Linked DNA regions of Caenorhabditis elegans. The protein of the gene in region 2 binds, or shares a complex with, the protein of the main gene of each other region. Each region holds a gene or a part of one and is shown on either strand. Other genes may lie near its edges.

The links. The genes of interacting proteins can lie anywhere in the genome.
Region 1: cdk-8 (region 2) and sop-3 share a complex: the UniProt entries of both Caenorhabditis elegans proteins name them as parts of the mediator complex.
Region 3: cdk-8 (region 2) and mdt-31 share a complex: the UniProt entries of both Caenorhabditis elegans proteins name them as parts of the mediator complex.

What each region holds. Positions count from the first base shown.
Region 1 is NC_003279.8:2,773,102-2,779,568, forward strand, and holds the start of sop-3 (Mediator of RNA polymerase II transcription subunit 1.1), read right to left. Parts: upstream 3,001-6,467; 5' UTR 2,982-3,000; coding exon 2,844-2,981; intron 2,794-2,843; coding exon 2,660-2,793; intron 2,601-2,659; coding exon 2,513-2,600; intron 2,466-2,512; coding exon 2,323-2,465; intron 2,321-2,322; exon of another isoform or gene 2,284-2,320; coding exon of another isoform or gene 2,146-2,283; intron 2,094-2,145; coding exon of another isoform or gene 1,812-2,093; exon of another isoform or gene 1,811-1,811; intron 1-1,810. Other genes in the region: Y71F9B.1 (uncharacterized protein), read left to right, coding at 1,812-2,093, 2,146-2,283; Y71F9B.13 (NADH dehydrogenase [ubiquinone] 1 beta subcomplex subunit 7), read right to left, coding at 3,332-3,448, 3,886-3,997, 4,047-4,348, 5,416-5,547. UniProt on the Caenorhabditis elegans protein: Component of the Mediator complex, a coactivator involved in the regulated transcription of nearly all RNA polymerase II-dependent genes.
Region 2 is NC_003279.8:8,698,890-8,708,328, reverse strand, and holds cdk-8 (Cyclin-dependent kinase 8), read right to left. Parts: upstream 5,864-9,439; 5' UTR 5,768-5,863; coding exon 5,763-5,767; intron 5,714-5,762; coding exon 5,474-5,713; intron 5,350-5,473; coding exon 5,162-5,349; intron 5,111-5,161; coding exon 5,014-5,110; intron 4,965-5,013; coding exon 4,829-4,964; intron 4,783-4,828; coding exon 4,661-4,782; intron 4,611-4,660; coding exon 4,512-4,610; intron 4,131-4,511; coding exon 3,971-4,130; intron 3,923-3,970; coding exon 3,839-3,922; intron 3,785-3,838; coding exon 3,569-3,784; intron 3,521-3,568; coding exon 3,425-3,520; intron 2,975-3,424; coding exon 2,651-2,974; 3' UTR 2,504-2,650; downstream 1-2,503. Other genes in the region: cle-1 (Fibronectin type-III domain-containing protein), read left to right, coding at 1-100, 770-901, 951-1,255, 1,928-2,010, 2,060-2,163, 2,275-2,343; tlf-1 (TATA box-binding protein-like 1), read left to right, coding at 6,372-6,409, 6,486-6,612, 6,692-6,802, 6,907-6,988, 7,455-7,570, 7,830-8,066, 8,114-8,209, 8,256-8,534. UniProt on the Caenorhabditis elegans protein: Component of the Mediator complex, a coactivator involved in regulated gene transcription of nearly all RNA polymerase II-dependent genes.
Region 3 is NC_003279.8:8,962,245-8,967,501, reverse strand, and holds mdt-31 (Mediator of RNA polymerase II transcription subunit 31), read right to left. Parts: upstream 1,389-5,257; 5' UTR 1,373-1,388; coding exon 1,345-1,372; intron 1,206-1,344; coding exon 1,104-1,205; intron 997-1,103; coding exon 832-996; intron 782-831; coding exon 540-781; 3' UTR 501-539; downstream 1-500. Other genes in the region: spd-2 (Spindle-defective protein 2), read left to right, coding at 1-29, 77-407; snpc-4 (snRNA-activating protein complex subunit 4 homolog), read right to left, coding at 1,579-1,701, 1,756-1,893, 1,942-2,151, 2,200-2,520, 2,578-2,802, 2,847-2,916, 2,972-3,126, 3,196-3,408 and 5 more. UniProt on the Caenorhabditis elegans protein: Component of the Mediator complex, a coactivator involved in the regulated transcription of nearly all RNA polymerase II-dependent genes.

The sequences.
Region 1 (6,467 bases), 5.9 Mb from region 2:
CGGCCATTTATCTTGCTTTGTTTTTCGCTTGTTTTCTTTTGTTTTTCACAGCTTTTTCCCGTTTTTTCTTATTAAAACTGATAAATAAATACTTTTTGCAGATGCTAAAACAATTTCCAACTGAAAAAATTATGTATTCAGTGGGCAAGCAGCTGTGAAAGTGGGCATTGTAATATGATGGATTACGGGAATACAAAACCTAAACTTTTTCTGAAACATGATACATATGCTGCTTAAATGCTGAGACTACCTGATTTTCATAACGAGACCGCTGAAAAAGTTTTGAGGTTTTCAAAATTCAACTTTTTGTGCGAAAATCTCGACTTTTTCACCAAAAAAGTTGAATTTTGGAAACCTCAAAACTTTTTCAGCGGTCTCGTTATGAAAATCAGGTAGTCTCAGCATTTAAGCAGCATATGTATCATGTTTCAGAAAAAGTCTAGGTTTTGTATTCCCGTAATCCATCATATTTGACCATTGACCACTTTCACCGCTGCTTGCCCACTGAATACACTTTTTTTTACTTGGAAATCGTTTTGGCATCTGCAAAAAATATTTATTTATCAGTTTTAATAAGAAAAAACGGGAAAAGGCTGTGAAAAACAAAAGAAAACAAGCGGAAAACAAAGCAAGATAAATTGCCGCTGAAACTTGTCGGCCCCTCGGCCATGGCCTAGAAACCAATTTTCCTCGTCTCTCGTGAGGAAAAAGTTGCAGTGAAATTCTAGATTCTAGCAAAAATCAGCAATTTTTCCCTGAAATTTCAAAGTTCCCGCGCATTTTGAGTCTAATAAAACAGTTTTATCGTAATTATCATCATATTCCCCTTGTTTGACCTTCATCTCTCTTATCAAAAACTACAACATACATATCTTCGTCCGTCTGCGTCTCTCACAACTAGTTATTGCAACAAAAAAAAAAACATTCAGAAGTGGTCATACTTTCATCCATAAATTCGTTTTCTTTTTCTGAAAACCACCTTCAAAATACAGAAAATCTCGTTTTTATCGAAATTTTGGCTTTAAAATAGTTTGAATTTCATTGATTTTTTTATTTTCTCGTTTTTGTAGGGAAATTTTCCTGTATATTATATTTTTAAATAAGTTTCATATAAAATTTTTATAGCTGTATATAAAGGAACATCGAATAGAAAAATAGATATTTTTAACTATTTTCTATAACTTAAAGGTAGAGTAGTCGAATTTTTTAAAATTTCTTTATTAGACTCAAAATTGTCTGAAAACACCGAATTTCATAATGAAATTTCTTGAAAACTTCTCAAAAAAAAGTTATGGCCTCTCGAAAATGGCCTAAAATTAGTGAAAATTTGAAATTTGACCAACTTAAATATCTTTGTCGCAGCAGCTGGAAACAAATTTTTTTTTGAAACTGTCGTCTATTTTTGAGTAAACAAGTAGATTATCTTGCGTTTTCAGTTTTATTAAGGTATTTAAAAGTCGATGGACGAAGAGATTTTTCAAATTTTTTTAATCAATTCTCTTCGTCCATCGACTTTAAATACCATAATAAAGCTTAAAACGCAAGATAATCTACTTGTTTACTCAAAAATAGACGACAATTTCAAAAAAAAATTGTTTCCAGCCGCTGCGACAATGATAAGTTGGTCAACTTCAAATTTTCACTAATTTTAGGTCATTTTTTGAGCGTCATAATTTTTTTTGGAAAAGTTTTCAAGAAGTTTCATTATCAAATTCGGTGTTTTCAGACAATTTTGAGTCTAATAAAGAAATAAAAAACTCAACTACACCACCTTTAAATCAAAATTTCACAAAAAATGGTTTTTTTCTAGAATGTTCCTCCGCGCCACTGAATCAATTCTCGGTTTGGGCCTTCTGGCTTACGGCCTTCTCGAAATCTCGAGAAATCCGACCTGGTGGGCCTATACGCCGGTCTACTTGGTCCCGGCGATCCTCTCCATCATTCAAATTCCACGGAACGCCACGTGGCGCACTCTCTCATCCCTCTCCATCGTCGCCGGCGGTCTCTACACGAGTTTTCTGCTGTGGACGTTCTCCTCTGTGGAATCTATACCGACGATCGATTTGGAAGAAGAAGCCAAGAACCTTCCGCCGGTAATATATTATTGATTTTTATTCTTAAATGATTCAATAAAAATCGTTCCAGGTAGCCCTTGGAGCCCTGCTGATCAGCTTCATCCGTCTCACACAGGATAAGATCTCCCAGCCGGTGCATTATGTCAGATCTTCGATTATTCTCGCTGTCGCTCTCATTAGTTTTTACGCTTTTATTTCATATTTTTAGTTTTCTTTTCCTCTGAAAAATAAATATTATTAGCTTTACAATGTAATTTCCTTCGGAAGTGAGGACAAAATCGCGGTTATCGAATCGCGAAGCTTCGAGAATTCTCCATTTTTCATTAGAGCTAGAGCTCCTGGAGCATCAGTGAGCGGTTGACCGAAATAACCGATTTTGCAGGTACTAATCTGAAAGATAGCTTTATTGTTTTGGTAAAATCCCGTATTCAACGCACTTGATCCTCTGCAACACCAATGTCGATTGTTACATCAGGATTTCTGATTGAAAATCCACTATTTTGAGTTGAAAACACGCAATGTTCTCTGAAAAAAAAATTATTTATAAAATTTTTAATTTAAAAAAAATTTAAAAAAGCACTCACCCTAGGCCTTCAGATAATTGTTGAACTTTTCGAGCAATAGTAGCATCATTATCAATTGGTAAATGCTCTTTCATAAAAACCAGAGAGCCAAGAACGTCGAGACGGGTTCGTGCATCGAGTGTTTGCCTTTTCTCCTGAAAATTTGATTTTTTTTTCAATGAAAAACGGTGGAGATTGCAGTTACCAGCAAATTCCTCCTGACAGATCTCGCAAAATGCTCCCATCCCAGCTTTTCTGCGCTTTGGCGGACATTTTCCATTCGCAAATCTCGATCGATCGACTCCAGGTTTAACTCATGATTTTTCCTCTCTTCAATTATCATGGTAGGTTTCGCTACCTGAAAATCGATAAATATTTAATTATTTGCTGTTTAATAATATAAAAATTGAGAAATTTTAACGAGAAACCCATTAAAAATGCAGTTTAAAATAGAAAATCGGTGCAAAAAATATTTTGTTTTGCTGCGAACGACACTCCGTTATAACGCGGCGCGTGTTGTTTAGCAGGCGGATTTTAGGCCACAGCCACTGGCATCAATTGGCGGGTGTTTGAATTTAGATAATTCGTCTCAGGGTTTAAAACCGGTTTTCTGCAGAAAAAATCGATTTTCAAGTTATATTTTATTAACAAAAATACATCATGTTTCATTAATAATCTACAAACAAAATCAATTTATTCATCATCCTCGTGGTGTCTGGTGCGGTGGCGGCGGAGAGTCTTGATATCTTGATCCCGTTGGGCCATTTGTTCAGCAGCCTGGTCACGGTCACGGCGGTATTCTTTGTAGTTCTGAAAAAGAGAAGGAAATGTGATTTTTAAAAAAAAACGTTGTTTGAGCTCAATTGAGAGGAAAGGTCTTGGCGCGAGCGTTGCAAAATTAAACGTGCGCACGGGGTTCTGGCCTTCCTCATTGAATTTTTCGCGCTCCATTGACAATCGCCTGCCGGAAAACACGTGGGAAAGTACTCCACACGGGCAAATACATTTAGTTTTACAACTAAAATCGAGCCGCGACGCGACACGCAACGCTCCGTAAATCTATGCCAGATATGGCCGAGCCTAAATGACCTAGTTCGGCAAACTCTTCCATTTCAATTTATGAGGGAAGCCAGAAATCCGTGGAAAAGATTAAAAAAAGGAGATTTTCAACTAAAAATACATGGTTTTTTTCTTTAAAAATTCGAAAAATCGATGGCCTAGTTTTTTTTGAGTCCTAGGCCACCTACCAAATACGCCTGGGGTCTCTGCCCATTGCTGGCGCGAACACAGTAGAACAAGTCGTGAAGGCAAGTTGGAAGATATGTCTGTTGAAGCCCAATGTTCACAATATTATCGGCTCTGAAAAAAAACAAGTTTTATTATTAATTTTAAAAAAATTTAAATTTACCTGTTATATGGATAATGTCCACCTTTTGCAAATTTATAATCATTCTCAAGCTGTGCCATACTTGCCGGCCGTCCGTCGAAGAATCCGAGATAAGTTGGTGGATAGTAATTCGGGTAGTACCAGTTACCGAACTGCCCGTAGTCTCTGGCGGTATTCTCATTATAGTAGATATACTTTGGCAGGACTCTCGGCGAGTTTTCGTAGGTCCTCTGGTAGAATGTGTCGGCGACCTGGCGGTTGGTGGTGTCCGCCAGTTTTCCCGGCCCGGGGCCTCCGCCGCTGAAATTGCAGTCCGCGACGAACTGAAAGTTGGGAAGGTTGCACATCATTTTTCGAGTCTCGCAGCGAATTATAACTTAGTCTTGACACGACAATTATCACGTGGTGTCAAAGTGCCCCAAATGCGGGAGAAGAGACGCAGACTTTTAAACTAATTTCGCATAGTTAAGAGTGTGCTGAGAGAAAAATTCCAGCATTTTTTGTAGATCAAACCGTCATGGGACAGCCTGACACCACGTGAATTATTGGTTAAATGGAAATGAACTGTGCGCCTTTAAAGATTACTGTAGTTTCACCGATTTCCCATAGATTTTCTCACGATTTTTCAAAGTTTAAGAGTTTTCATAATATATTTTTATCGAAAAAAAAATCGCTGGAAATTTAGCAACAAAAGTAGATTGTGTCGAGACCGGGTACCGTATTTTCGGTACAAAAATTGCAAGTTATTGCGACTAACTAATATTACAAAGCCGCAGAGAGTTGTCTGTTGAAGAGACGCATACATATCGGGACCCAAGGGGCGTGGCGCGGGAAGAGCCAAAATTGTGTAGATTTACGGAGATCCACCTTGTAAATTTACACGATCTTGGCTCCCCATATATCTGAGTTCCCTGTAAATACCACGCCCACAAAACTGTGCCCATCTGAGCTCAAAAATTCAGATTTCCCATATTTGTGTGACTCGTGGCAAAAATTGAATTTTCCGCAACGTTCAAGGTTCTATGGGCAGATTTAGATTCTCCCGATCAAGATTCCCCGATTCGGAGCACAACGTGGAGCAGACCGCTCGCCTTCAGGACACTAGGGCTGTACAAATCGGCGTCCGGTCGTCCGATTTTGACACCACCGGACGCACTGCGTCCGGTTTTGGGGTAGGTTTCCACGGCGGCCGACAATTTCCGAGTTTCGCCACTCACTATACTTAATCAGCAATTTTATAGTGAGTGGCGAAACTCGGAAATTGTCGGCCGTCGTGGATAGCTACCCCCAACCGGACGCATGTGCGTCCGGTTCGGACGACCGGACGTCCGGTTGTACAGCCCTACAGGGCACAGAAAAATGGGCGTGACCTTTCCGAATCTCCACCTACCTGTACAACATCTTCACATGACATATCCCTTGGTCTTGGCTGAACCTTGTCACAATTGTTCTTGGACCACGAGAGCAGTGTCTCCGGAAGCGGATTCCATCGTTCGGCGAATTTCGCGAACGAGGCGCACATTCTGGCGGATGGAGCTGCTGTTAGCAGTGCCACGTGGCATGAGAAAATTAATATGAGATGATTGAACATCTGGAATTTTGAAAGTAGATTTTGATTTGGAAGCGATTGAATCGAAAAAGTGACCATTGAACAATAATGGAGATCATAAGGTAATGGGTAAAGAAAAACAGAAGAATGATAGAAAAAAGGATGAGAAGAAGGTGTAATCAGACGGGAAACGATTGATTAAGAATCACAAATTTTTGATGAGAAGACGGTTTGAACACACTACGAGACTACAAATTGACGGAAATTGACAAAAAATGTTGACTGTGGCTTTATAAAAAATACGTATAATAAATACATTTAAAAATTAATTGTCATATATTTTTTCTACAAGTTGAAATTCAAAATTTATTGATATGATTACAAAAATTATCCAAGATAGTAGCCAAGAGTCGGTAAATTCAAATTAGAGACATGGTGTTTCGACTTTTTTTTTTCAAAAACCAGCCAAAAGGTATTTACTGCAATTTCTTATAAAAATTGCCTTGCTCGAAACTTCAGCGGCTTATTTCTTGGCTACTTTTGATCTTAACCTAAAGTTTTTAACTAAAAAAATGTTTTAGAACCAAAATATAAGCTGCTAAAGTAGAACGAGGAACATGGTGCATCGACCGGTTCGACAGCTTATATCTCGGTCATTTTTGATTTTCACAAAAAAGTATCAACTGACAAAATGTTTCTCATGTTTTATTTTACAGTTTTACAGTTTAAAATTTATAGATATCTTATTAATGAACCAAGATATAAGCGGCCAAAGTAGAATGGGGAAAAACGAGGAACATGGTGCATCTACCGGTTCGACAGCTTATATCTCGGTTATTCTTAATTTTCACAGAAAAAAATCAACTGGCAAAATGTTTTCCATGATTTGTTCT
Region 2 (9,439 bases):
TGCCACGTCATCTCAACAATTATTCATTCGTGTTACAAACGGATGGAAAGAAATTCAATTAACCCATTTCCATCCATTTGTAGAAACAAGACATTCAACGGTAAGATTTAGATTTTTTTCAATAGATCTTTGGTTTTTTTTAAATTCTCCATTTTTCTGAAATCCCGTTTTTGCTTTTTCATTTAAAACTTTTTAGCCAATTGAACTAGATTCTCGCTATTCACCTAATAGCATTGAGTTTTGGGTGAGTTCTTTTCGATGTTGTGATTGTTTTGTGTACTGTAATTGACTATTACTGCTGATTGTGAAGGGAAATTGAATTGCTTTCAAATATAATTCACTCGTAAATTTCGTATAGTGATGATAGTAATAATTTCAAAACAACTTGTTGGATTGAGCAAACCAATGAACCTTCACAACTTGCCGTCCATCTTAATTAAATATGTTTTCCAAAAAGATTCAAACCTTGATATCCTCTCAGAGCCGTCAAAATGGTCATAAATGTTCATCGCGACACCCGCGTAATTCAAATGTAACTTTTGGATATTAGTCATGTTGCTACAAATAGGAATCACCACTACAACATCAGCTATTCACATCCTTTAGTCATTTAGTTTAGCCCCCATTCTCCCTTATCACTTATCACATATTTCTTTCATTTTACCTAGGTTTTCAATAGTTTCAATAGGTTTTTGTAAAAGTCCTGTGAAGCAGCTGTGCAGCACAAATATATGTATTCTATACTACTTTTTAGTTACAACTTTTACAGCAAAACTCTCGACAAAACGATGCAAGTCACGCGGGAAGATCAAGAACTGGATCAGCAGCTGCTCCATGGTACCCAAAAGCAAATCTTGATGAACCACAGAGAGATGCGGGAGTTCATAATAAAGATCGAGTTGTTAGTATTCTGAATTTCTATAAGAATTTATTTTTCAAAGTATTTTCAGATTCATATGATTGCCCTGTCACAACCATTCTCTGGTAATCTTCACGGGCTCCGAGGAGCAGATCTTCAATGTTATCGTGAAGCTCGTGCAGCTGGATATACTACAACATTCCGTGCAATGCTTTCGAGTAATGTACAGGATTTGGTTAGAATTGTGCATTCCGTTGATTTTGACACAACTGTTGTGAATGTTGCTGGACATCATTTGTTCCCAAGTTGGAGATCATTTGTCAATGGAGCACAAATGAATCCTCATGCCAAACTTTTCTCATTCGATAGACATGATGTGCTCAACGATTCTAGATGGTCAGTTGGAATAACTTTTAGTACCAACAGAGTTTTGTTGACACAAGTTAAAACAGAACGGAAACGTGTAGGGCCTATCTTTATTTTTCTTTTAAGCTTATTAGTGACATCGAAATGTTGTCAATTTACAGTAGATAATTGTAGAAATTGGTCGGAAGTATAAGTAAGATAATTTCAAAATTCAGAGCTGTAGATGTTGATTGAAAGCTGTTAATTTTTATCAATAAAAAATGAACTAACCGTTTTCTTTATTTTGTTTTTTTTTAATCAGCTGATAAAATTTTTGTTATTTTTTCCTCTATAGTTTTGTAGTTGTAACTATTTGTTTAATATCTGTGAAATTCACCGAGATAAAAGTTTCCAAAGGAGTAATATGCAAGACTACAGTATAATCTCTTTTACTGTTGCACCCAATTGTTCAACTTTCAGTTGTCGTTTGTTCAATTCAAAGGTTGTCACTGTCAAAATATTTCTTAATTATTTTTCTACATCTTTGCAGATGATTATCTGTTAATATCTTCCAAATGAACCCAGATATAATTAATTAAAGTCAAGTAATTGGGTTCTAATAGAGAATATATGGTGGTAGAAGGAATACGGTATCAAAAATCAGAATAATGTCAAACTCATAATAACAAACAAATTCAGACTCAACAAGTTCCTTAATTTCAGGCCAGATAAGCGAGTTTGGCATGGATCCAAAGATGGTGGAATAAGAGCTGAACAATACTGTGATGGATGGAGAAGAGCCGATTGTAATTTTTGAGAAATTGAAGACAATTTTTAGAATATAATTTATTGCAGCATCTCTGACTTCTTTGGCAGGTCACATCTCATCGAATACAAGCATTTTCCAATCAAGTGGATCCGAAAAATGTGAAAATAAATTAGTGGTATTGTGTGTTGAGGTTCGTTTTTTATTTAAATTGAAGTGTTCAAACGATCGTTGTGAGACCATCAGAGAAAAAGAAATATTATTTCCAAACAGCTTTAAAATCTTAAAATTAAAATGTTTGCAGAACATGTCCAAGTATCACGGTGACCGAATTCTCCGCTTGCATCGAATCACATCCGACTTCAAAAAATGAACGACTTCCAATATAGAATTTCAATTTTAAAATTGTTTTAAATGATTATACCCCAACCTTACGATGAAAAAATCTCGAACCCCCCCTGAAAAACGGCTTCATTCACTCATTTTGCTTTGTTTTCTATTTTGAATTAAACCAAAAAAATCTTTCCGAATTTGATTTTGATAACTGCCACGTATTTTCTCAATTTTATTGTGAACGTATTTCAAAAAAATACAATTTACAAAGCCTTCAAATTACACATGACGAGCAATATTAGTTTGATGTGAGTACTATAGATACATACATGTTACAAATGAAATGTTTATCGATGATATTGTTGTTGCCATTGCTGTTGTTGCTGTTGATTTGGACCGGGTTGCTGTTGTCCCATTTGAGGGGGAGCCATTCCACGACCAGGCATATATCCTTGTGGTGGAACTCCTGGAGCACGCATGCCCATTTGCATTCCCATTTGTGGATTCATATATCCTTGAGGTCCTGGTCCAGGAACTGCTCCTGTTGGTTGTCCTGGTCGTTGTGGATAGTAGCCGGATGGTCCCGGTTGTTGCATCATTTGCACCATTGGTGGACCTTGTTGCGGGTGATAGTCTTGTGGAGCACCGTATGGAGGAGGCATCGGTGCATACTGCAATTGTAGAATTGAACATAAGAATTTGAAAAGTGGAGTATTGCCATAGGGAAAAATGATGAAAATCACTCCTATGATCTTAAAATGACCCAATATCCTAGTAACGCTTTTCAACAATTTTTCAAAATAGTTTTACCTACAGTAAAAAGTGAAAATTACTTCATCTACCATGATTTGGAAATAAACCAAAAATTATCAAAATTAGTTTCTATCTACTATTTTGCAACGATTAACGAATATTTCAAGAAATTTCAATTTTTGAAAGTTTGGCAATTTACCAACAAAAAAATTATAAATCATTTTACAAAAATTTGCAAATTCAACAATCAATCTATCAAAATTTGCGAAATTTGGAAATTTACAAAAACTTTGAAAATTTGAAATCCTTAATTATGATATTCAGCCATGTTATGTTTTTTATTATTATTTTCTAATTAAAAAGCTTACTCTTCCAACAGGAACATTTCCCATTCTCATCATTTTTGCTTGTGGTCCTTCATCCATTCCACCTTGCATTGGATCATGCATTCCTTGATATTGCATCTGAACAGAAAAAGTTAACTTTTCATTCTGAATATTTAGAAAACTGACATGATGCTGTTGTGGATGCTGTTGTTGCTGCATCATTTGATGTGGATGTCCATCTGGAGCAACAACTCCGGGATGTGCTCCACCCATTGGTGGTTGTCCCATCTGAGGTTGTACCATTTGAGGTTGTCCCATCATTTGTTGCTGTCCCATTTGTGGTTGTTGTTGCATTTGAACTTGTTGTTGTTGATGCTGTTGTTGTGCTTGATCTGGTGCAACCTGTAAAAGAATCTTGGGAACATTTGCAGTGTATTCAACAATTGATGCCCTTACCGTCATCTGCTGTTCCTTCTTCGCGTATGGAATTGGATATTTATTGAACACGTCGTCAGTCTCCCTTGGTGGTCTTTCCATTTTCTGCAAATGGTTTTTTCAAATATTATTCAAATTAAATTTCAAACGAACTCTAAAATAAATATCATTCATCGCTTCTTCACAACTGACACGTTTTGTAGGGTCAACTGTGAGCAATTTGACAAGTAATCTATATGGAGAGCTTTGTGAATTGATTTTCCATTTATCAAAGTATCGATGCAAGCTGTTTGGAAATGTTTGAATTGGTGTTCTGAAAATTGTTTATTTATAATTATGTAAAACTTTTTTAAAGCCGTTATATATTGCAATACAAATTCACACATCCGAAATTCTCTCAAATTCGGAAATGCCACAAAAAATGGAAAAAATCGCAAGAATGAAAAACCAACTTTTGAAATCGCGATTTTCAATTGTTTGAATTGCCACCTAAATGAGAACTGCGACCAATCAGCGACTCGTTTTTTAATCTTGGATTTTTAATTCTTTCGCGATTTTTTTTTCCTTTTTTTGTGGTATTTCCTAATTTGAGACTAATTCGGTTTCATTGAAGCCATTCACGCTACTGAAAAAAATAATGTGCCTTTAAGTAATCTATCAAAATAAATTTGAAAACTTTTATATTATAATTTACCCTTCATTTCTAGCATCGCTTAGAAGTCTTTGATGATCCGGCATTTTCTTCATATCAGGCCAATCAGCATCTGATGGGTATCCGAGTAGATGGAATATTCTTTAAAAATTTCGAATAGTTAATGATTTTAATTTCCAAAAAATCTGTACCTTTTCACTTGATCATAGTGATATGGATTTTGTGCCTTGATGTCTTCCTCTTTACAGAAAAATAATGGTTCAGCGGTAAGAAGTTCGGCAAAAATGCATCCGATAGCCCATACGTCAATAGCCTGAGATTATGCATTTTTTCCTTATTAAATAGATTTTTCAACGTACCTTTGTATAATGCTTTGCTCCGAGAAGCAATTCAGGTGCTCTGTACCAGAATGTGACAACTACTGGATCTAATTCAGCCATCGGTTTCAGAGGATTTGCATAGATTCTTGAAAATCCCAAATCAGCAATTTTTACCCTAGAATTATTATTTCATATTATCGCATAAATTTCAAATTCAGTCAAACCTTCCTCTCATGTCAGGTGGTCCATCACCCATTAATAGAATATTTGCTGGTTTGAGATCTCGATGTAGTACCCAGTTTGAATGTAAATAATGCATTCCTGAATATTTTAAAATACAGTTGAGTGAAATTGGATTTTAGAATTTCAAACCTGATAAAATTTGAAACAATATATTTTTGACCATATTCCGTGGCACCATAATTGGGACTTTCTTGCTTTTAGCTGTTCGATGATGTTTGATAACGTGCCAGAGATCGTGTTCAGCATAATCCAATAAAAGCCAGACTTTTTTTTCGTTGGTAAGAAATACACGTTGAAGACAGATTAAATTCGGATGCCTGAAACATTTTTTTTTTTTGAATATCTACTTCAGTTTTTTTTTCGAATTTTAGATTATAAAAAGGGGAAAATCTCGAATTCAATCTTCATTTTAAATTAATATTATTTAATCGGTGAAATTACCTTAATTCTCTGAATAGAGCAATTTCTCTGCATGCAGACATTGAAAATCCTTGTCCCTCAATCATTTTTAATGCGTATTCTTTGTTAGGAAATTGTCCATTTTGCTTTTTCGGAACTGCTTTATAAACTAATCCATATGTTCCTCTGCCGATTTCTTTTGAATTTTCAAAGTAGAAAAGGTCTTCTACTCTCTCTCGACGCTGTGCCAATTGTTTTTTGAAGTTTTCATCAATCATTAATCTGCAATAGGGATTTTCTGATTTATTTATAGTGCAAATTTCCAACTTACGTCATTTTTCAGTTACTACAGCGAATACTACTCAGTCTTTATGCCAGGAAAATCGATGTCCAGAAAAACGAAAATTAAAATTGAAGTGTACGGTAAGGAAGTCCGCAAACACTGCACCCACGTACTAAACACCAAATATCACGACATCTTCGTCGGTCTTCGTTTTCTAGCACTTTTTCTTGTGGCAAATTCTCGCCGAACGTCACTTCTTCTTCCCAAAGAACACAGCGTTAAGACTGAAAAATCAATAAATTAACTAATCAATAAATGCCACATGTCTAACAGACAAATAACTAGGAGGAATGCACATTCAGAGAGGATACTCTGGTTTGGCAGCGAATAACGCTTTCAATCGATCCTGTAACCGCGTTTGCCTCAAATCAGTTTAGAATGAACAAACCGAATATTGTATTTTGGATATTATTTTGTCTGAATTTAAAATAAACTGGTCGTCGGAAATAAATATTTCTTAACTTTTCCAGAATTTTCTAACATAAATCAAAAAATTCTTATGTTCTCACGAAGTCTCGCTCTCTCGTTGTTGCAGATTTTAGCATTTGTCGAGTTTTCAAAAGATAACAACTCAAATTTACAGGCCGATCAGTTCAAATGCAAATGGGTGATCATCAAATGATGGGAAACCAGAGGTATGAGTTGAATTAAAAAATAGCTTGTTCAGTTTTAGTTATTTGGATCAAGAAATCCAATAACAACACTCGAAAGATATTACAGAACTTACGTTCAAAAAGTGATGCCTGCACAAGCTGGTGGTGCAGTATCACAAAATGCCACGTATGTGCAAACGGCAGGAATTCGAACGGTTCATCACGACGGAAACGGACAGCAGAGGGTGAGATTTTGAAGAATATAATCAAATTTTGTTCGAGACAAGACATATGCTTGAATTTATGAATTAAAGTTTATTTCAGATAGTTCAACTACCCCCGGGAGTACGTCAGATTCAGCAAAATGGTGTCGGTCCTGCCTATGTTCGCCAAGTTCCTGGTGGTCAACCAATGCAAGTAAACTTTGGACATCCAGTAAGTCTTTATTATCAGTTTCTCAATCAACATAACAAATTCTAAGAATTGAAACAAAATTTCAAATTCACGAAACTATTTTAATTTTTCAAAAGAAATTGCAGGGAACGATAGCGGGTCGAAATGTTGCAGTTGGTGTTCAAATGCGACCTGTGCAAGGACATAACGTTCAACAAGGTTATCAGAGTAAGTTTTTAATTTTATTTAGAAAATTGATAGTCAATATTTAATTGATGTTATTCAAAACAAAATATTTTTTTTTTTAAATCGGTTTTATTTCAATTTATTTACGGTCTCCGGATGCCGTGTGTTTTATCAATAGAATACAAGTACTACGTATATCTAGAATCGCGTATATGTTTCTGCAATAATTAATTGTTTTATTGGAATAATATTCTAGACACAAATTAACTCTACATTTACATTTCGAATAACTCGATTTCTGATTTTTGAACGATTGAAGTTTCACATATTTTCCAAAAGGAAAAATTAAATATTGATTAAATTTTCACTGTTTTTGCAAACAAAAAAAAATCGAAAACAATCAAAATAATTCTGGAAAATTTCAAACTCGTGTGTTGGGTCTCACATTACGTGTTGTATAAGACATTCTTGTTTGAAAAACTGAAAAGAGTTTTAAATTTAATTCCAGGACAGCAAGTAGCAAATCAAATTCAACAACAAAATCGAGCTGTATTTATGGCACAAAATCAGCAAGGACAACAACAGATAAGCTATGCGCAAGCACAACATCGACAACAACAACAGGTATGTTTCATGATTATCATTTACTATCATTTACTATATATAAAGCGCGTGTCCTTCTGTCCCTATGTAGTTTGATCTCTGATCAGAGCAACGAAATTTTGGGAAACCTTATGCTAAATGCGCAACAGACATCGATCGAGGTCCGCGATAGACACCGTATATCTAATGTGTTTTCTCAAAAAAGTCGGGGGCCGCGCCGTAGGTGCGGTCCACGGCTGGTTCAGATATATTCACCAAAATTAATCAGAGGATATTACAGAATCAACAACAACACCACCAGCAACCACAACATTTTAATCATCCTTCTCAACAAAATCAAATGATTATGCAACATCGTCAACCACAAATGCACCATAATCAGCAACATCAAATGGTTCAACCACAAATGACACGTCATCAGATGGCCCAACACCATGCTCAGCAGCCACATCCGCAGATTTATGTGCCGCGTGACATGAATTTGGCAGTGCCACTGAGAGAACCCTCACCTGAGCCGGTAACAGATGAATGTACATTTTCATGTTTCATATCTACATTTTTCAGATTCCTGTCAAAATTGAGGTTCCAGATGTTCCTCCAGAAGGTACATCGGCTGCCAATGAGGAACCAATGCCAGATGATGGTGATATCGATATTCAGGTACTTTCTAACAGCAATCAATCATCAAAACTTGAAAATATTCCAGATTCGAAATGTTGTTTGTAATTATACACTCCCTTTGCACATTGATCTTCGAAAATTGGCAATGAACACTCATAACGTGACATATGAAAGAGAAAAAGGAGTAATGATGAAACAAAAAAGATCGCCTGGTTGTTATATCAAAGTATATAGTTCTGGAAAAGTATATATTGTTGGTTGCCGGAGTGAGGCGGATTGTAAACGAGCTGCACGTTCAATTGCCAGACATGTTCAGCGAGTTATGGGAAAAACGAAAGAACGAGTTTCGATTAGAAATTATCGAGCAAGTTTTGAAAAGTTTCAATTTATCTATTAAAAAAATTTATCTATTAAAAAAAAAATATTTAAAAAAAGTTCGCCTTCAAGAAGTACAGTAGCTTCCGCCATTTCCGATTTGTTTTTTTTTCTTTTAAAGATGTTTCATTTTTGTTAAAGTTATTACTTGTAAATTTAAATTAAATTGAAGAAAAGTGTAAAAATGTCAGTCGTGCAAACTAGTGTACTAAAATTATTTGACCGTGTATCGTAGTTTCACCAGATTTTTACATGCCTTTTTAAAGGCGCACGGATTTATTCAGAAAGGTCTCGGCACGCAAAATGTTTATGGTAATCTTTCTTTTTTTTTTGAAGTTTGAACATTTGGAGAGGCACCACGGTTTCAAGATCTGGTGGGGTTCCGGATCTACGTTTTGGTGCCAGATCTGGAAAACGTAGAACCGGAATCCACCAGATCTTGAAACCGTGGTGCCCCCATTTGGAAACAGATTTTTTAACAGAATTTTTTTTTAAAGCTGAAAACCGTGCAGTTTCATTGAAAAACGCAAACATTGAAGAAAAAGACTACAATAAACTTTTTGCGCGTCGAGACCCATCTGAAGAAAGTCGTGAGCCTTTAAAGAGCCATTTCAAAATTTGAAAAAAAAAATTACGATACCACGTAGAGTCAGGTTGTCCCATCACGGTGTGATCTACAATAAGTGCGGGTATTTTTGCTCAGAAAAGTGTGACGTCAGCACATTCTTAACCGTGCGACACCAGTTGGAAACTCTACGTCACGTTTCATTTTTTGTAGATCAGACTGTGATGGGACATTCTGACACCACGCGCGATACCGTTTTTGTGTGTTTGTCAATACCATAAAATTTTGCAACTTTAAAATATTTATCTAATTATTAAGTTTATGTGGAA
Region 3 (5,257 bases), 260 kb from region 2:
GAAGAAACCATGCGAACCAGACTTCGATTGTTAATTTGAATACAGATGAAATGGTATTACATTTGAAATTATTTAGGCTAGAAGTTCGCACAGGACAGCATCAACTAATCGATGGTCATGACTTCACATCTTTCCAATTTTCCGATGAAGAAGTTCTTCGTGCTGTTCCAGTTGGATTCCCCGCTATCAAGCCCGAGGACCGTGATCTGTTCGCTGCTTCTTATCGTAGTTTCTTCATCAATTTTTTCACTTCTACAACTGAATTCCGTGCTGCTACAAGCCGGAAGAAGAAAGAGATATGCAGCAACGACGACTCTACTCTACTCGAGACAACAGCTTTCCGTAATCAGACATTTGTCAACGACGTTACAATTGTTCCCAATACAAGATTTTCGAATAGAAAGTAAAATCTTAACCTAACTTTCCAAATATTCTCTGATTTCTGTCCAGGCTTCGAAAAAATTCACGGTTCTGTAAAATGTAGGTTTCAATTTCAATAAAGTGGTGATGAAGTTTTATTTGATTTACATTTTTTATGTTTATTTTTCTTTCTTTGAAACGGTAGAAGTTGTGGAATTCTTTTCGGCTGTGTCAGCATCCGGTTTCTTCATCGTTTCCTCATCATCTTCATCCTCTGTGTCCTTTTGTCGAATATCAGCTTCATCTTCAGATTCTTCAAGCTCTTGTCCCTCATCAGGCATCATACACAAACGATGCCGTTTCCGAAGATAAAACTGCCATTGGAGAACCACTTGATCTTCTACGAATTTCGCGCTTGGTCCTGAAAATAAGTTACTATTCTTCTGATAGATTAAATAAAATTTGAACTACCGTAAGCCATCGAATCGCGAAATTGCTGACTCTGCAGTGCTTCAAGCATGTGCAGACATTGAGGAAATTTCAAGCATCTGGCATATTGAGGATCTTTCCAATAGAGAAGATATTTGAGATAGTTGACAAAATATTCTTCTTTGAAATAACCACGTTGCGCGAGAACTGGAAAATATGAAATTTGCAGGAAAAAGAGTGCATAAAAAAACAAGAAACTTAGAATAAAAATACGTTTTTCTCTATTCTCGGCTAGTGTATGTGAATAAACTCACAATTAAGATAATTTGGATTTGCAAGAGCCTGCACGAATTCACATTCAACTTCAAATCTCGTCTTTTCACTTTCTACACTCTCCATCTGCATTGTATTGTAGCCTGAAGAAAAAAAAATGGAATTCAAGCTTCGAAAAATTACAGAAATTTACAAAATTTTGATATTATGACCTTTTTTCACCTATACGGTGAAATCCGTACTACGAAATGAGTTAAATATATTATTCCAATGGAAACATACCGTATCGATTGAAACTAAAACGACCCATGCCTATAAAACCATTTTATTAGAAAAAGAAAAACAAATTTAACAGATGGTGTTCATAAAGAGCTGAGATTGTTAATAAAACAAAAGTGAAATAATCTTAGGAGATCAACTTTTAATGGGTTCAGTTTAAAAAAGTGATGTAAAACTGCACAGGAGAGGATGACATAGAGTTGGGTAAAATAGTTATATTGTTCAATAATAGAATATTCAATCTAACTCCACTTTGAGCGAAATATTACTCTCCGTATCGATCGAGACGTGACTTGGAGTGGGTGTACCTGCAGATGAACGCGGTGGACGAGCAGGACGCGCTGCAACTGTCGCAACGGTCTGAAAAATATACTGTTTCATTGAGGACTATGAGAAAAATATAGATAATAGTACCGCAAGGATTACTAGGGGTAAAAGTTTAATTTTAGTGTCACATCTCACCTCTCCAATCTTCCTTTTCATTCTGATTTTCTTCGCAGAATTCTTGTCCAGATTAGCCAACAACTCGGTGGTATCGATTTTCATGCCGTTCTGAAAAAAAACAACGTCTAGCAGTGGAGACAACGCAAAAAACTTTACATTTAGTTCTCTAGAGATTGAAGTTGGAGTAACATAGATCTCGTCATCAGGCATCCGGCGTCGTCTTATTTGGTCACAGGTAACTTGTTGTTCTTCATCGCAGGCGCGTTCCTCTGCAAGACAGCGCACAAGCCGCTTGGTTTCATCAGACGACGATTCACGAGCAATTCCAAGACGCATTGGTTCGAGAAGAATCGAACGCATTCGAGCCTGAAAAATTATCAAAAATAAAAATAAGAATATAATATATTCACTTACATAAAAATTCGCATACTCTTTACTATTGGTGACCTCATCAGACAACCCGATATGCATACGTCTGTCTCCGTCGAGGCCCTCTCTCTCGTCGTTTTTGAAGTTGAATTGTTGAGCCAGAGAGACATCAAGAGGGTAAAAGTGTTCAGCAGAAAGACGATTCAATCCAGAACGGGCTTTTTGAAGCATTTTGTGAAGATCGAATGATGCAGCAGTCGGAGGAAGAGTTGACTTGGCTGGGCAATGTACATCATTTTGATTGCATGACTTTGAGTTAACATGTAAATACCATTCAGCGACTTCTTTTGACTTGTTTATGACCATCTGTGAGAATTTTAATGTGAATTTTCATTAAACTTTATTTTCTCTATTCTGACTCACATTCTCCACAAATCTTTTAGCGTATTTCGGCGCTGTGAAGCGATGTTCATTCCAAAACTTAGTGCCCCATTCTTTTACGTCGTGAGCACGAATTACAGAGCACAACGACTCCACAATGACCATTTGCTTTTCATCTTCAGCATCATTTGGATCAAATGTTGGCATTGTTTCTGGATCCAAATCGATCTTAATCGGACGAACACGACATCCGATTTGATCCACGTTCTGAACATTTTTCAATGGGTTAATATTCTGTACAATTAATTTACCTTTCTAAACTGTCGAGCCTCGTAGTAACGCGTCAAAGTCTTGCTTCTTTCTATCATGTAACGAACATCACTGAAAAACAAAATGTAATTAAAATATGGTGTTTTTTTTTTGGTTTTCAACTAACACTTCCGTGATTGTGAGCGATGAGAGAATTTCACTGGAGTGTAGTTCTTTGTCGATTTCGGCTGCATTTTTGTGCTTTTGAACAATTTCGTTGATTTTATCTTGGATTTTTTGATAATCCGGCTTATTCTTCAGAGCTCGAATTCTAGCGGCGGCCTGCAATAATAATAATAATAATAGTAATAATAAAAATATGAGTTTTAAAAAATTTATTTTTGATCTTACTGGTCTCTCCAAGGCAGATACACGTTTGTAAAATTCTTCGGGAGTCTCATTCATATCCGGATTTTCGTTGGCGAATTTCTCATAAACTTCTTTCATGAGTTCATTTGGAATCTGCTCCGCTTCCACAATATCTTCTTGCTCCAGCTCGTCCTCTTCAGGAGCACGTCTTCCGGATTTCATGGCATCGACCGCGTTGCAGAATCCGGCAGCCAACTGAAATTTTTATTAATCATTGCTTTTATTTAAGTGAATTTTTAAAAAGATTTTTCACAATAAAACCAAAAAACTCACTCTCAACTTGGCTGCAATTAACTGCAAATATCGTCTTCTCAACTGTCTCGATGTCTTTTTTGGCAAGAGCATCTGACATTTAGCCCAATTTCCTTTTCCAAATACTTTTACCGCATACAAAAGTTGTTCGTCTTCAACCAGCGTGAACCGTTCGTTGACATGAGCTGAACGATTCAACACATTCGTCCAGCGTTCGCGGCATTGAGAATCGTTACGATTTTGCACCGCCTGAGCAACTTTTGCCCAATCTTTTGCTCCATATCGTGAAACTGCACAGACAAGAAGCTAAACGATATGTTTGTTAATTGCTTAAAATTTAAATCTAAATATGAATGTTTTAAATTTCCAACACACAATAATCGTGGAATGATGTTTTTACTGCTAATTTACATTAATTATACATACCACATCTTCTTGATCAGTCCATCTTCCATGCTTAACCGATGCATCGAGAGTATGCGAGAATCTAGTTCTGACTTGTTGACGAGTTCTTCCAGGCATACATTGTGCAACTTTATCCCATTGAATATGTCCGTTGATCGATGTAATTTTTGTGAGCGCAATTAACTTGGTGTCTTCGTCTTGAGACCATTCTCTGAAATATTCAAAATTACACACATTTTGAAAACGAGCTTCTCACTTTGAATGTTGAGACACTTCGGTTTTGTACTTTTCCATACATTGATAAGATGTTCGATTTGTACCGAGATTCAGAGCCAGCATCGGCCAGGAGACAAACTTTGGACTTTCTCGAAGGTATTTCAGCTTTTCTACTTCTTCATTTGACCAATGTTCTTTGTTCCACTTTGGATTCAATTCATTGTACCATTTCGATTTCACCGCCCATTCCGTTCTAGAGCCTTTGAACTGAAATAATAGTTTTATTTAATTAAACTTCACAAACAGGAAGTTTTTGAATTAATGAAAGTTTAAACATACGTCGAAGTTGGCTATTGCAGTCCATGGAACAACGGTATAATCAGCCGAAGCAGTCAATACTTCTTCTTCACTTTTTTCTCGAACATAGGCAATTTTTCTCATCAAATCTTCCAGCTCCATAGTCCATTGACGTCGATCGAAATTCGATGTAGTGATATCAGCGTCTCGAAGTTTTGAGGCAACGATATCTCGTCTAGAACACCACGGTTGAACCTGATGAGCCACCAATGCGTTTTTAACAGATGTCCGGAGTGTTTTTATTTCAGATGGTGTCCATTTTTTCTCCTCTTTCATCATTGGGTCGAACCATTTTAAGACTTGCTTTTCGCGAGCCTCTGAGCTCATTGGTGGGTACATGTTATTATCATCTTTAAAATATGGTGGCATATACAAGTGAACGGGAACTTTGCGTTTTGTAATGTCAGCACGATTGTACAAACGATATTCCTCCTTCAATTGTTGTTGTCGCTTTAAATTGTCGTCTAAATGTTGCTGAACAGAAAGAAGAGCCGAATCCAAGATTTCCACATAAGTTTCATTGACATTCATGAGCCCTTCGAAAGTGTCACATTCGAGTGCATCAACCACTTGTGTTGTCGACTGAAACAATTTTAGATACATTATACAACCCAAGTTATAAAAGCCATACCATTGCAGTTTGATCCGTATTTGTGGGCACATCCGTACTCGTACTTGCTCCTGGCTCAAACATTACCAAATCCGACATACCGTGGTTTTCTAGGTTTGTTTAATTACTGAAAGGTTACATTCAAGGGACATATCGGCGGAAACGAGAAACAAAAAATCATAACACGTGTCTCAATATTTTAAA